Arabidopsis thaliana: one gene and its partner. The protein of the gene in region 1 interacts with the protein of each later gene in a pairwise test. Each region holds a gene or a part of one and is shown in the gene's direction. Other genes may lie near its edges.

Region 1 (6,872 bases):
TCCATAACCCCCTCCGTTGCGTTGTGGTGCTTGTGGTGGTGGAGGTCGTTGTTGTTGATTATCTTCAGGGCTTAATAGCAATGGTCTTTTCGATGAGTTTTGAGTTTTTCGTGGTGGAAGTCTCTCCTCTGGGCTTAATGGTACAGGTATTACAGAATGTTTCGGTTCTTGGATTGGATTTTCACGGTGGCGACCACGAGTCTTGATTAGGATTCCTGGTGGAGCTACTGGGTGAGGTTGCGTGGTTTTGTGGTGCGATTTTTTTGGGTGCGGAATGGGCGGGATGTGTGGTTGGTTCGAAGATGTTTGTGAGGTAGAAGCACCACCGCTTTTGAGATGTGGATTCTGCGATGGAATTCGCGCAAAATGAGGGTTAGTTTCATGGTGATGATGATGAGACATTTAGATGAAGAAGCTAAAAAGCATCAAAGGAAACTAAGTTAAGTAAGACTTGAGATGAAAGAATGAGAACAGAGAGATTTTGAACTGTTTTAAGTTTCTAAATGAGATAGAGAGAGGGAGAGAATAACTTGGTGACAAGTTCAAGTAAGGATTCTTTGTTGTAGAAAACAAAATAAAGAAGGAAAGTGATAGCACGAAGCAAGTAATCTTTGTTGTAGATTCCTTGCACTAAAATTAAAATCAGTTTCTAATCTCATGAAAAAGTATAAAAACATTCTCTGTATCTTTTTCTCATTCAAAAGTTTTTTTAAGAAAATTGTAATTACTCGGTCCAATTTATCTAAAACCCAAATAAAAAGATCTCGATTTTAGGAGAGACAGGGTTAAGGACTTACAGTAACAGTCATGAATATGTCAATCTTTCTACTTCAGCTCACTCCAGGGGAAAGATGTTGATTCTCAGAGCAACTTACGAAAACTTGTCGAATATGTCAGTAAACTATGAACATGTTAAGATATGTCTCCCATAGATCAAGAAGGCCGCAGATTAGTTAGCGCAAATCTGATGCGAAACACGTTGCTTCTGCAGGTAGATACTCTGTTCTCTGCTCAATTTCTGCAGCATCAAACATGAAACCAACTCTGCAATGCCGGTTACTGCAAACGTTGACAAAGACAACTACCAATCGAGCCTGACCAAACAGATACTAGTAAAAAAGCTGGAAGCAAACTGAAAACTAAACCCATACAAAAGGTATTTTCCACGATCTTCGGTGCAATTGTTCTTCCTATATCTCTTATCCCCATTCTTTGGCATGGCATGGTATATAGTAACATGAATATACATAAAATGAAAGTGTAAACGCCTGGAAAGAGCTAACCTACGCTTTACACGCGAAGAAAGCAGAACAATCTCAGAGTAATCATGGCCGGAACAAGAAACACAATTCAAGCACAGAGACCCACAGAACACAGTCATACAGAGTGCAGGAGAAGCAACGCACTTGCCCTGAAACAACTTTCAATACATGTACTCCTAAGATCTGATGTTCTTTCTCAAGATCATTGAAAACTTACGAAAGAGAAGCCATAGAGTAAACAACTAATCAAATCCAAAATTCCAATTCCACATTGATTCAACTCATCAAAAGTTCAAAATGTAAAACTGTGTTATATCACACACAGATACTAGTACTGATCAACATAGCAGCACTCTTGCTTCACCTCAGCTCTCATAAACCTCTGCAAAGAATAACAATAAGAAATACGCAAGATCTTACTAAACTAAACAACACCATTAAAACCCTAAAAAATGTGAAGCTTTTGAGAAAAATCAGAAAACATTACCTGACTTTCTTGATGAGGATTGATTGGAGTTTTCGAGCAAAGTCAATGGATTTGATTCTGCGTTCAAGATTCTTCCTAGCGAGAACCTTCTTCTCCGAATTCTTAATGTGATGAGTCTGAGTCCCTTTGATCAGCCTCTCCATTCCACTCGATTGCATCTTCTTCTGCAAAATCGTCAGTGCCTTGTCTAAATCATTGGAGAACACCTTCACTCTTATCCCTCGCTCTTGCTGCAACTGCTGGTTTAGACTCGGACGAGTCACCAACCCCGTAACTCGCTTCGCTATCGTGTTCATCTCTTTTACTTGTTTTCTGAAAAAGTATGTTTCTGAAAACGTAAATGAGATTGACGAGAGACAGTGATAGGATCTGAATTCGACTTACCGGTCGGAATCTCGCCGGAGAGAATCAAAGAGCCAATTTGAGTGATGATGGAGAATGTCTAGGTTAAAAAAGAGGCGATGGAGGAAATGAGATAAAAACCAGAGAATTTACTAATATAGGGGTGGTTATGTAAGTTTTATGAGATATAGGGATGTTTTTGTAAATATCCTTAAATCTAATCTTCTGTTTGATTCAGAGAGTATTGACTTTAAAGAAGAACATTCAAGCCTTTCAAAAAAAAAAAGCTTCTTTAATTTCTCTCTCTCTCTGTGGAGTGTTCGAATCTCCAAGCTCTCTCTCAAATGGCAGCGTCCACATAGTAGAGCTGAAGAAGCACTGTATCTATCTACAGAGAAAGTGAAGAGGAAGAAAAGGAAGAGAGGATATAGAAATTAAGCTGGCGACTTTTAGTCCGAGGCGAGCAATGGCAGAGTTACGGCACTCGAGCTCTCTCGGTAGCCGATCTTCTTCTTCTCCGTTACGTGCCGCCGGAGATGAGGATTCTTCATCGCCTCATGTACACGATCACTCTCCTAACGGCGGAGACGACGAAGATGGTCGCCCACGTCATCCTTCTAGAGATCGAGACCGTCCGATCTGGTTTCACTCTTTGTTTCCTTTCTTCGGTGATGATCCTAGGGTTTCTCCTCAGAAGAATAAAATCTCGCTTCTATTGATTTTGATTCTCGCTATTGCTAGCTTGATCTCAGTTTATGGGATTATTAATCACTTGGTAAGTCTCTTCCTTCGATCTAGGAATTGAGATCTTCAAGGCTCTATGTTCTAACTGTGGAATCGATTTGGAAAAGTATTTAGCTTTGTTTTGAGTAAAGGGGTTTGTTTATTTAGGTGGATTTGGATTGACATTGTTCTCAGACTAAGATTGCTTCTATGTCTATCTTCTGCAGAATGCTCCTTATTTATGTAAAAAAGATGGGATTGTGCTAAACTGTCCTCATGTAAGTGTTTGAAAACTTTGGTTATGTGTTTTGTTGAATGCATAAGCTTTGAATCCTGTAAATTTAATTGTGTGTTGGTTTGCATTTGTAAGGTAAAAGAGTCACCTTCTCCTTGGGAGAATCCTTTATCTGCAACAACTTCTTGGAAGCCTTGTGCTGAGCGGCGGATTGGTGGAATCTCAGGTATTGAAGGGCTAGAGCATTGTCATTTTCATTGTCATGTGTTATTTTTTTTTTTTATTTTTTTTTTTTCGTCGAAACACATTGTCATGTGTTATTGATCTGTCTTTTCGTGAAAGTTCAAGTCTTTTTCCTTGGTTAGCTTATTAGATTGTGTCAACTGTTTTTTTCAGATCTTCCTCCTGAGAATGAAACAAATGGCTATGTATTCATTCATGCTGAAGGTGGTTTGAATCAGCAGCGAATTGCTGTATGTATCTTCCAACTTTTATCTCTTTTTCTTCTCGCCATTATCCAATCATGGATCAATGTCTAAATGGCTGTTGTTCTTCTTGCCATCGTCCAATCTTGAATTCATGCCCTTTTGTTTCCAGATCTGCAACGCAGTAGCTGTTGCCAAGATTATGAATGCAACACTGATTCTACCAGTACTGAAGCAGGACCAAATATGGAAAGACACAACGTAAAATCATATTCAGATATTGATTTCATTTCATCTTGAATTACTTCTCTATTTTCTTTTTGGTTTACTGAGCTTGTTAACTTTCTTTTGCAGAAAATTTGAAGACATTTTTGATGTAGATCATTTCATTGATTACTTGAAGGATGATGTCCGAATTGTTCGAGACATACCTGACTGGTTCACTGACAAAGCAGAGCTATTCTCTAGTATAAGGTTTGCTTGTCAACTCATTATTTGTTGATGATGTACTTGTTGGACGATTTCAAAAGTTAGCTTGTGGAATTATGGCGTCACTGGGTGCTCCTTGTGTATATCTCTGATTTAAAAATCGATCTGTATTTTTTAATCAGATATGATGTTGACCAAGTTATTTATTTATCTTCTGCAGAAGAACAGTCAAAAACATTCCCAAATATGCAGCAGCCCAATTTTATATTGACAATGTTTTACCTCGGATAAAGGAGAAGAAGATAATGGCCTTGAAGCCTTTTGTCGATCGACTTGGGTATAACCAATATTCCTATAGTTTAGTGCTCAGATTTTGGAAATCGTCTTATAAACAATGAATGATTTATTCTTGTGATGCTGGAAATTTTTTCAGGTATGACAATGTACCTCAAGAAATCAACAGATTACGATGCCGTGTAAATTATCATGCTCTCAAATTTCTTCCAGAGATAGAGCAGATGGCTGATTCACTTGTTTCTAGAATGAGAAATCGCACTGGAAATCCAAATCCATATATGTATGCCATATCAGAGATTCGACTTTGTTATAACTTAGGACCATATGCATTATATCAACTTAAAACTATACCCATGTCTCTTGTATAGGGCTCTTCATCTTAGATTCGAGAAAGGAATGGTTGGTCTATCGTTCTGTGATTTTGTGGGGACAAGGGAAGAGAAAGTTAAAATGGCAGAATACAGACAAAAGGAATGGCCTCGGCGTTTCAAGGTGACATTTATAAGCAGTTGTCAACTTCTTTTGGTGGCTAAACAACCTCAACCGCTACCTTAATGAAATTTCTTGACATATATTGCAGAATGGTTCCCATCTCTGGCAGCTCGCCTTGCAGAAGCGCAAAGAAGGTCGATGCCCTCTTGAGCCAGGAGAAGTTGCTGTGATCCTACGTGCAATGGGCTATCCAAAAGAAACACAAATCTATGTTGCATCTGGTCAAGTCTATGGCGGTCAAAACCGTATGGCTCCACTAAGAAACATGTTCCCAAATTTGGTAAGCACAACACCGGACTCTTATAATTCTTTGATGAATCAGCACAAACTTGTCTCTCACATTAACTGTCCTTTGAATCAGGTAACAAAGGAGGATTTAGCAGGCAAAGAGGAACTAACAACGTTTAGAAAACACGTTACAAGTCTTGCGGCTCTAGATTTCTTGGTGTGCTTGAAATCAGATGTATTTGTGATGACACACGGTGGAAACTTTGCAAAACTGATCATCGGAGCGCGTAGATATATGGGGCATCGCCAGAAATCAATCAAACCGGATAAAGGGTTGATGTCGAAATCATTTGGGGATCCTTACATGGGATGGGCAACTTTTGTGGAAGATGTAGTTGTAACCCATCAAACACGAACCGGTTTACCTGAAGAAACTTTCCCTAACTATGATCTTTGGGAAAATCCTCTCACTCCATGCATGTGTAAAGCTTGATGATGATGCTTTTGTTTGGTCTTGGATTTTGTCTGATGAGGAGCAACAAACTATAGAGATTCGTAGTTTTCTTCTTCTTCTTCTTCTTTTTTGACCTTTCAAATCTTTGAAGTCTTCATTTACCATCTTTGTAATCATTTTGATATTATGTAAAGTTCCTAGTGATGAAAAAAAAGTTTCTTTTTTATATTAAATTTGATCAAATTGATGCACTAAACTTTAATTAAAAGAAAATTAGCTCAACGGTTACTAATCCAATTCTTAATTTTTTGTCACGCTCTCTAATAGTACCCGCCATTAACACAACCATTGCGTGTTGTCTTCTCTCTTACTCTCAGGTTCTCAACAACAAAAGAGGAAAACAAAATCAGAAGCTATCGTAATCAGTTCTCATCTCTATGACCGGACTATCCGTAGAGAAAACCGGGTCGACCCGGTCCACTGTCTTCTTCATCATCTTTAATCTATCCATTTTTAGGTACTCCGCTTCACTGGGTTTTTGAATTTGATTTTGGTTTTTGAGTGGGTGGTGTTTGAGTGATCGATCAATCACAAAAGTTTCGTCTTTTTCAGTTTATCGATTGAAGCAAGGTCGAGGCAACAACATGCTAGCTTTCCTCCAAGAGGATGGAATTCGTACGATTCCTTTTGTTGGACTATCTCTGAAGCTGAGTTCTTGCAGAGTGCTGAAATTGTTTCTAAGCGTCTTCTTCCTCATGGTTATCAGGTAATTGTGAGTTTCTTTATCCTTTAGAATGTAAAAGTTTAGGTTTTTAATTGCTTGTGTTTGTGTGTGTTGATTTGGATACAGTATGTTGTGGTGGATTACCTTTGGTATAGAAAGAAAGTTGAAGGAGCTTATGTGGATTCTCTTGGGTTTGATGTGATTGATGAATGGGGAAGATTGCATCCTGATCCAGGTAGATGGCCATCTTCTAGAGGCGGTAAAGGTTTCACTGAAGTTGCTGAGAAAGTTCATAGAATGGGTTTGAAGTTTGGGATTCATGTTATGGGAGGAATCAGCACACAAGCTTATAACGCAAATAGTCTCGTTATGGATAGTGTTAAGGTATTGAGTTGATTGATTCTTTCTGAGTTTATGAAGTTTGTTTGGAAGTTATCAACAAGTGAATCTTTTAATGGTTGAAGGGAGGTGCTTATGAAGAATCAGGTAGACAGTGGCGAGCGAAAGATATTGGGATCAAGGAGAGGGCTTGTGTTTGGATGTCGCATGGGTTCATGAGTGTGAATACCAAGTTAGGTGCAGGAAAAGCATTCTTGAGGTCTCTTTATCGTCAATATGCAGAATGGGGCGTTGATTTCAGTAAGAGAATCGACTTCATTTCCGTAACCTTCTTTAACTTTATTCGATATATGATTATCTCAATCTTGTCTCACTTTCTTGGTCTTTAGTAAAACATGACTGCGTATTTGGCACTGACTTCAATATAGAGGAGAT
Region 2 (7,984 bases), 8.0 Mb from region 1:
GTGGAGACATTGGTTCAAGAAGTTTCCTCAAATGCAAGAAAGATATATCACATCGCAGGGACTCAGAAGTTTGAGTTCCCAAAGGAGGAGGTTCGAATTTCAGAAGTCTTTCAGGCCGTGGAGAATGCGAAACGCAATTTCACTGTATTTGCTTGGGGATTTGCGGACACAACTCTTGAAGATGTTTTCATCAAGGTTGCTAAAACCGGCCTTTAACTAATGTCTTCTTTTGAATACTTTTAAGATTATTAGTTATGTCTGTTCCACGTCAATATTTTGCTTGTTCATGTTTGATAAATTGATAATGCAGAGGTTTGATTCATGTACATTGTTGGCTCTTCGCCTGCAAGTTTGCGAATTAGTCTGAGGTCTTGTATTAGTTTGTTTGTGGATGATGCATGTAACCACAATTTTTTTATTTAAACGTGGCTATATTTAATTGTGGATAAACCACTGAATATGAAATTTTATTTCATCTACCATTCAGATCCTAAATGTATATCTTACCATTTAATTCATATAGGGTTTACGATTTAAAATTTAGAATTTCGAAAATAGTATCTATATTAAAAGATAGTAATTAGGTCTTTTTTTCATTGAATTTTACTTAAACATTGGTAAAATTTCATATGCCATCGAAAAAAGAAAATATCACTGAAAACTATGTTAGCTGCCGGAGACAACATTTCTAAAAAGAAAGACAATTTTTAAAAAAGACTACAAAATACTCTGTTGTTCCTTTTTGTTTGATTGTTTAGAAAAAAAATTTGTTTTTAAGAAATTAATTTTTTAAGTTTTCCATGCAATATTTATTGGTTAATATTGGTGAATTGTAATTTTCAAGAAAAATAGTTAGTTATCATTGGTTTAGAGTTATAAAAAATTGTAAAACACTAAAAATAATACATTTATAATCAAAATTTAATATGTTTTCTTAATATATGTGTTTTTCTAAACAATATAAAAAAAGGAACAGAGGGAGTATAAATCAAAACTGTTAAACCAAATTTTTTACCAATTAAATCTTAATTATATCAATTGGTTCTTCTCCGAAATAAGAAATTGTCTTGATGTCTATGAAAATCACAAATTTCACTAAAAATTTATGGAGGATTCCTAATTAACTTTAGACCAGGAATTTTTCAAAAAATAAATTTAAAGATGACATTATCATGAACACATTCAAACTGAAATCAAACCAAAGTAAATTTATTTTCCCTGTAATGGACCATAGAGTATAAAGTATTTAAAACTGCTACTTATTAAATCAAAGACTTTTGTGTTTTTTATTGTGTGCAAAGACTTTTTATGTTTGAAAACTGAAATAAGACTGCTAGTAAAAATATAAACTGAAATAAGAATTTTTCTTAGGACATCATAACATTTTTGCTTCTTGTCCAAGTAACTGCCACATTGGAAAAAAATGTTTAGATTTGAACAAATCTTTTTAAAATGGTCAAAAAATTATCATAGTCAACCAAATTACCCGACACTTTTACGTGAGACATTAAAATAGACTAGTTTAATCGATTATGTTCACACGTGATTACGTCTGAGATGACGTATGAATCATCTTTATACAAATACAAATATACAGTAAACAAATAATTGAAACTCACCTCTTCCACTAGTCGAAGAATCTATTGGTCGTGGCATCACTCTCCTTCGCAGCTTCCTACCAAATTTACATTGAAAATATTCTCCATTGTCACTTTCTCGATTTCGTAAAATTACCTTTTTGTTATTTGACCAAAAGAATAACCCCAAAAAAACAATACTAATATATTCGAGAAAAATAACTAATTAAAGGTATACTTAACGAGAAATTAAAGCGTGTGCACAAGGGTATTACTGTAATTTCACATTCCGTATCTGATCTCTGTTCTTCTTTCCTCCGCCTGCTATAAACCAAAAGGCGGTGACTCGATTTGTTCCTTCTAAGTTCAAAAATTGGGTTTCCATTAGGATTCAATTTTTACTAACCCTAAAAAACAGAATCTAATACACAGAGAAAAGCGAAGGTTGTTACCTTCATCAATGGCGGATCCTGGTCCTGCCAGTTTCTCAACGAGAGCCAATGCCTTGCTTAGGAAAAACTTAACCTATCAGGTACTTTTTCCGTTTTCTTTTCCTCTACGCAATCCAATTATACACATACAAATTTTCGTTTAATGTGAGTAAGATTCTGTTCTGGGATTTTCGTTTAATAGATCAGTTTCCACAACAAAATTAGTGGCTGATTTATTGAGTAGATTCTGTTCTAATTATGTCTTTGTGTAAATTGTGTGTTGGTGTAGAAACGGAATCTATGGAGCAATATACGGCTAATCATGATCCCATTCTACCTCTGTATACTTCTAGTGATTATACAAATCCTGTTCGATACACAAGTTAACAACTCTGCTGATAATCGTTGTGGTTGTGAATGCATCGAAAGAAATAGAGCTGGAAAATGCCAAAGAGAGCTTTGCGGTTTAGAACATTCTAAACCGGATCAAGCCTTCTTTTGTTCTATCCCTCGTCCTCCACTATGGCCTCCTTTGTTACAAATCCCGCGTCCTGAGAGTCGCGATGTTAGAGGTCTTCGTGATGATTCTTGCAGAAGAACAGGATCTTGTCCTGTTACTATACTCTTTACTGGAAATAACCGTTCCCTTGGAACAAGTATGTCTCTTTTCCTTCTTTTTTATGTTTCTGTTCTTGTGTACCTACACTGGAACTTATCTTCATGTTTTCTTTAGCTGTATCTGAGAATCTGTTCACTAGTTCTGTGTCGGCGAACGCCTCTGAGATTTTGCGTACTTTAGCCAACAATGTTTTGGTAAGTTTTTTTGGTTGGTTTCTGTTTGTTTCCATTATGAAATGTGTTTCTTAGCTTTCTTGACCTCATGTTTCAGGGTACAACAGTTGAGGCAGATTTCACCAATTATCTTGATCCAGGGATTGCCTCAAATCTTTCCATCTACAATATCCAACCTCGGTGCATTCTAAATGCTACGTTTCCGTTCTCATTCGAACAACCACCTCTCAAGTTTGAGAAAGGTATTGAGTTTTTAATCCCATTGATGTTTAAGATGTCAACTAAAAAAGTTTAAGAGGGATACTAGATGTTATATATGCTTATATCAGTGTTAGCTTAATGAAATCTGGTTGCTTTCTCTGTTTTCGTATCCCGATCTTGTTGAACATGATATATCTTTCTGCAATATATTGTCCTCACTCATAGTTATCTTTCATGGAAACATCGTTGTAGTTGATTAACTTAATGTTTGTGACAAAACCAGAGTTGAGATGTGTTCAAGGATCAAATCTTTGGACAAATACCTCCAAAGAGGTCAATGATAAGATTTTCAAGGGTTATAAGAAAGGAAACCCCGAGGGAAAGATAAATGAGATCGCTGCAGGTTCGTCAACTTCTCAGTTGGGTTATCTATAATAATCTTTAATAAGCTCATGAGATTTCTGACTCTTCATGTCTGATTTTGTTGTTGGTTTAGCATATGATCTCTTGAACACTGATAGGAACAATTTTAATGTGCACATCTGGTATAATTCAACGTACAAGGACGATGCAGGAAATAGACTTATAAAGTTGATCCGTGTTCCCCGCTCAGTCAATTTGGTAAGAAAACAACAATTTACTCAAGACATCCTTCATCATTGTATTCTCACTTTGCTCTTTACCATGTAGCACCACTTTCTTTATTGAACCGATGCTTACACTTTACCAAACTGCAGGTGTCAAATGCTTACCTTCAATTTCTACAAGGACCGGGGACAAGGATGTTGTTTGAATATGTCAAAGAAATGCCTAAACCAGAAACAAGTCTTCGTCTGGACATTGCGTCTCTAATTGGCCCCCTTTTCTTCACCTGGGTTATTCTTCTTCTGTTCCCTGTAAGTTTGCCTTCAATAATACTCACCCTCATGGATAAATCTTGGAAACAACAAGAATTCTGCTTTCTCCAAGCGTAAGATACGAAATTCATATCTAGAGCCATTTGTATGCAGGTGATCTTGTCGTCATTAGTGTATGAGAAACAGCAACATCTAAGAATTATAATGAAAATGCATGGCCTAGGAGATGGTCCTTATTGGATGATTTCCTACGCCTATTTCCTTACCATATCCGTGTTATACGTTATATGCCTGATGATATTCGGGTCAGCAATAGGTAATTGAAGCCTTTCGGTTAATACATTTCTTACAATACATTATGTTTTTTTGTCAATATGAGTCTTTAATGTTGTTGGTTCCCTGCAGGACTGAAGTTCTTTCGGCTTAATTCCTACAGCATCCAGTTCGTATTCTATTTTCTCTATTTAAATCTGCAAATCGCCCTTGCCTTTCTAGTTTCTTCAGTATTTTCAAAAGTCAAGACATCAACAGGTACTAAGAACATCGTGCTTCTTGAATTTAATCAAGAACATGCTACTGGGGTTTAAAGGAACTAATGAGCTTTTCTCTATATGTCTTAATCATAGTTGCTTCTTACATATACGTGTTTGGATCTGGACTTTTGGGTTTGTTTCTACTCAACTTTCTGATTGAAGATTCATCATTCCCTAGTAAGTTATTATGATTAATTAACTTCAAGAAAGATATTTAATACACTCTGTTATGTGTTTTCACAACTGACCACGATTGCAAATGAATTATAATTTTCCAGGAGGCTGGATTATTGTCATGGAGTTATATCCTGGCTTCTCCTTATACCGTGGCCTGTATGAGTTGGCGCAATTTGCTTTCCGGGGAAACTTGAGAGGGGAAGATGGGATGAAGTGGAAAGATTTTGGTGATAGTGCAATGGATGATGTTTTTTACATCATTGTCGTTGAATGGTTTCTTGCACTCATTGCAGCATACTATATCGATAAGATATCTTCATCCGGAAGAAACCCGTTGTTCTTCTTGCAAAACCCTTTCAAGAAATCTCCTTCTTTGAGAAGACCTAGTTTGCAGAGGCAAGGCTCCAAAGTCTCAGTTGATATGGAAAAACCAGATGTTACTCACGAGGTATGTCCAAAGACTTTACAATATATTTCATGTTTTTCATAATATATACTGGTTCTGATAACAAAAAATGTTCCAATCAGAGTAAAAAAGTCGAGCGGTTGATGCTTGAGTCGAGCACAAGCCATGCGATTGTATGTGACAACCTGAAGAAGGTGTATCCTGGTAGAGATGGGAACCCGCCTAAATTGGCAGTTCGTGGGTTATCTCTTGCAGTGCCTTCAGGAGAATGCTTCGGCATGTTAGGTCCCAATGGTGCTGGAAAGACTTCCTTCATCAATATGGTCAGTCAAATGGACAAAATATTTTGTGCACATTAGACCTTAGCTTCCAATATCATTGCTGATCGAGAAACTCTATCTAGTGTATGCCCAAACGAATTGTGCGTCAGCCTTAGTAATATGTCCTTTGTTTTCTTTGTCAGATGACTGGGCTCCTGAAACCGACATCTGGGACAGCACTTGTTCAAGGTTTGGATATATGCAATGATATGGACAGAGTGTACACCAGCATGGGCGTATGCCCGCAGCATGAGTAATTAAATTCTTGAAATTCATTTCATTTTGTTCTTCACTATAGATGATATAGTTGTTTAATCATTCTCTTATTGTCTGTCGTATACCAGTTTGCTATGGGAAACACTGACAGGAAGGGAACATCTGCTGTTTTATGGGAGACTTAAGAATCTCAAAGGCGCTGATCTCAACCAAGTATGTTATCAATCTCGCTCACCTTCTATATTACTTCCATTGCTCAATCTATTTCTCATCGTTACTTATCTGCATCAGGCTGTGGAAGAGTCTCTTAAGAGTGTCAACCTTTTCCATGGAGGAGTTGCGGACAAGCCTGCTGGGAAATATAGCGGAGGTATGAAAAGACGGCTGAGCGTAGCCATTTCACTTATCGGGAATCCTAAGGTACAACACTAAGCCTTTAAAAATAGTAAACCAAAAGGGATAAGCTCTTTCAAGCTTACCAGACTCGTCCTCATTTCCTTTGAAGGTGGTTTATATGGATGAGCCAAGTACAGGACTTGATCCAGCTTCGAGAAAGAACCTATGGACTGTCATCAAGCGTGCAAAACAAAACACCGCGATAATCCTCACAACCCACTCAATGGAAGAAGCAGAATTTCTATGTGACCGATTGGGTATTTTTGTGGACGGAGGCTTGCAATGCATTGGCAACCCAAAAGAGCTGAAGGGAAGGTACGGTGGATCTTATGTGTTTACGATGACAACATCTTCAGAACACGAGCAAAACGTGGAGAAGCTAATTAAAGATGTCTCCCCAAACGCCAAGAAGATATATCACATCGCAGGGACTCAGAAGTTTGAGCTTCCAAAAGAAGAGGTTCGGATCTCAGAGGTGTTCCAGGCTGTGGAGAAGGCGAAGAGCAACTTTACCGTTTTCGCTTGGGGACTCGCCGACACAACTCTTGAAGATGTCTTCATCAAGGTTGTGAGAAACGGTCAGGCCTTTAATGTCTTCTCTTGATCTTCTTAGATTCATACGTCCATATTTTGTCCAATGTCAATATTTGCTTATTATGTCAAATTGCTACCACATGATACGAAATTAGTGTTTATAAGATTTCATGTATATTACTGGAAATATGTTACAAGTTCCTGATTTTTCAATGAGATTATACTTGAAACAATTACTAGCGCTCCTGAAGCAAAGAGGCGACACTTCAACACTAGGAGATGTTTTTCAATGTCATAACCATTTGTTCTACTCTGTTTCGGAGTTCATGTATCGGCTATTAAAGTTGGTTGGTAGCAATAAACCCATATTTTCGACATTGTCGTAATAATGAAAATAAAAAACCATATCTATCTTATTATATTCATATTTGTGTAGGTTTTGGTAGAGAGTTCATTTCTTAGGTGAGTGATGCAAATGAATACTATTACTTGACCTACACGAAATATCATACAAAAAATCACAGTGCTATTGTCCAATACCTGTATGCCACTTCAGTAACGTGTATAGTTAAACTGTTATCTCTTAATTCTTGTTATTTTTAGTGTGCACATCTAAAAAACAACATTTAGAGACTTCTTAAAAACTATTCAACTCCATCAAACCTTCTCATATTCTCTGCGATGGCGGATTCTAGTCCTGCAAGTTTCTTGACTCAAGCCGACGCTTTACTGAGGAAGAATTTAGTTTTCCAGGTTTCAATACACTTTTAATATCTAAAACGGCTAAGACAGAGTAAAAAGTTTACAATGAGGTTTTGTTTCCTTTTGTTCTTTGATGCAGAAACGGAACATATGGAGCAACATACGACTCATCACAATCCCTTTCTTTCTCTGTTTACTTCTCCTTGTTATTCAAATGCTCTTCGACACTCAATTCAACGACGTCCATGGTCAATGTGGCTGCAACGAGAAAACTTGCGGCTTAAGGTATTCGACTTCAGAGCAAGCAGCTTTTTGTGCCATTCCTAATCCACCACAATGGACTCCACTACTTCAGATCCCGGCTCCTGAATACCGAGCCGCGATCCCATACCCGAGCCATACTTCCCCTGCAACTTTTCTCTTCACCGGGAATAATCAGTCGCTCGGAAATAGTATATAAACCCTATCAATCTACTCCTTTGAGATGTGAAATTTTTATATGTAACTCTTTTTCTATGGTCAACAAATTTTTTCTTTTGCTAGTTCTAATGGGAAATATGTATAGCAATTCATCTGGATTTGATGGAGATTTAGCCTATTATGTCTTGGTAAGTTTCATGAAACAATGTTACATCATGAATATGTTTTTGTGTGTTTCTCAGTCTCTGATTTCTAATATATATATGCAGGGCTCATCATCTTTCCCTGCATACACCAATCATATGGACTCCGCTTTCATCTCAGATCTTCCCATCTACAACATCCAACATGAATGCTCACCAAACTCTTCTTTCTCAATCTTAATTCACCAATCACCTCTTGCTTTCCCTAAAGGTCTAACA

The links. The genes of interacting proteins can lie anywhere in the genome.
Region 2: the proteins of AT3G26370 (region 1) and ABCA7 interact in a protein complementation assay, tested with the Arabidopsis thaliana proteins (one large-scale study listed by BioGRID).

The regions. Positions count from the first base shown.
Region 1 is NC_003074.8:9,654,329-9,661,200, forward strand, and holds AT3G26370 (O-fucosyltransferase family protein), read left to right. Parts: upstream 1-2,351; 5' UTR 2,352-2,557; coding exon 2,558-2,866; intron 2,867-3,041; coding exon 3,042-3,092; intron 3,093-3,184; coding exon 3,185-3,275; intron 3,276-3,445; coding exon 3,446-3,522; intron 3,523-3,646; coding exon 3,647-3,735; intron 3,736-3,828; coding exon 3,829-3,948; intron 3,949-4,123; coding exon 4,124-4,240; intron 4,241-4,336; coding exon 4,337-4,480; intron 4,481-4,568; coding exon 4,569-4,692; coding exon of another isoform or gene 4,693-4,755; exon of another isoform or gene 4,756-4,780; coding exon 4,781-4,972; intron 4,973-5,053; coding exon 5,054-5,413; 3' UTR 5,414-5,617; downstream 5,618-6,872. Other genes in the region: AT3G26350 (proline-rich receptor-like kinase), read right to left, coding at 1-402; AT3G26360 (Ribosomal protein S21 family protein), read right to left, coding at 1,635-1,644, 1,750-2,045; AT3G26380 (Melibiase family protein), read left to right, coding at 5,812-5,891, 5,987-6,140, 6,225-6,482, 6,563-6,737, 6,827-6,872. UniProt on the Arabidopsis thaliana protein: Glycosyltransferase involved in the biosynthesis of pectic type-II arabinogalactans.
Region 2 is NC_003074.8:17,622,463-17,630,446, forward strand, and holds ABCA7 (ABC2 homolog 6), read left to right. Parts: upstream 1-1,877; 5' UTR 1,878-2,037; coding exon 2,038-2,109; intron 2,110-2,297; coding exon 2,298-2,664; intron 2,665-2,741; coding exon 2,742-2,821; intron 2,822-2,897; coding exon 2,898-3,042; intron 3,043-3,284; coding exon 3,285-3,404; intron 3,405-3,497; coding exon 3,498-3,622; intron 3,623-3,738; coding exon 3,739-3,897; intron 3,898-4,011; coding exon 4,012-4,174; intron 4,175-4,263; coding exon 4,264-4,389; intron 4,390-4,484; coding exon 4,485-4,568; intron 4,569-4,669; coding exon 4,670-5,016; intron 5,017-5,096; coding exon 5,097-5,297; intron 5,298-5,437; coding exon 5,438-5,547; intron 5,548-5,638; coding exon 5,639-5,723; intron 5,724-5,801; coding exon 5,802-5,930; intron 5,931-6,015; coding exon 6,016-6,510; 3' UTR 6,511-6,823; downstream 6,824-7,984. Other genes in the region: ABCA6 (ABC2 homolog 5), read left to right, coding at 1-216; ABCA8 (ABC2 homolog 7), read left to right, coding at 7,122-7,193, 7,282-7,594, 7,686-7,750, 7,832-7,976.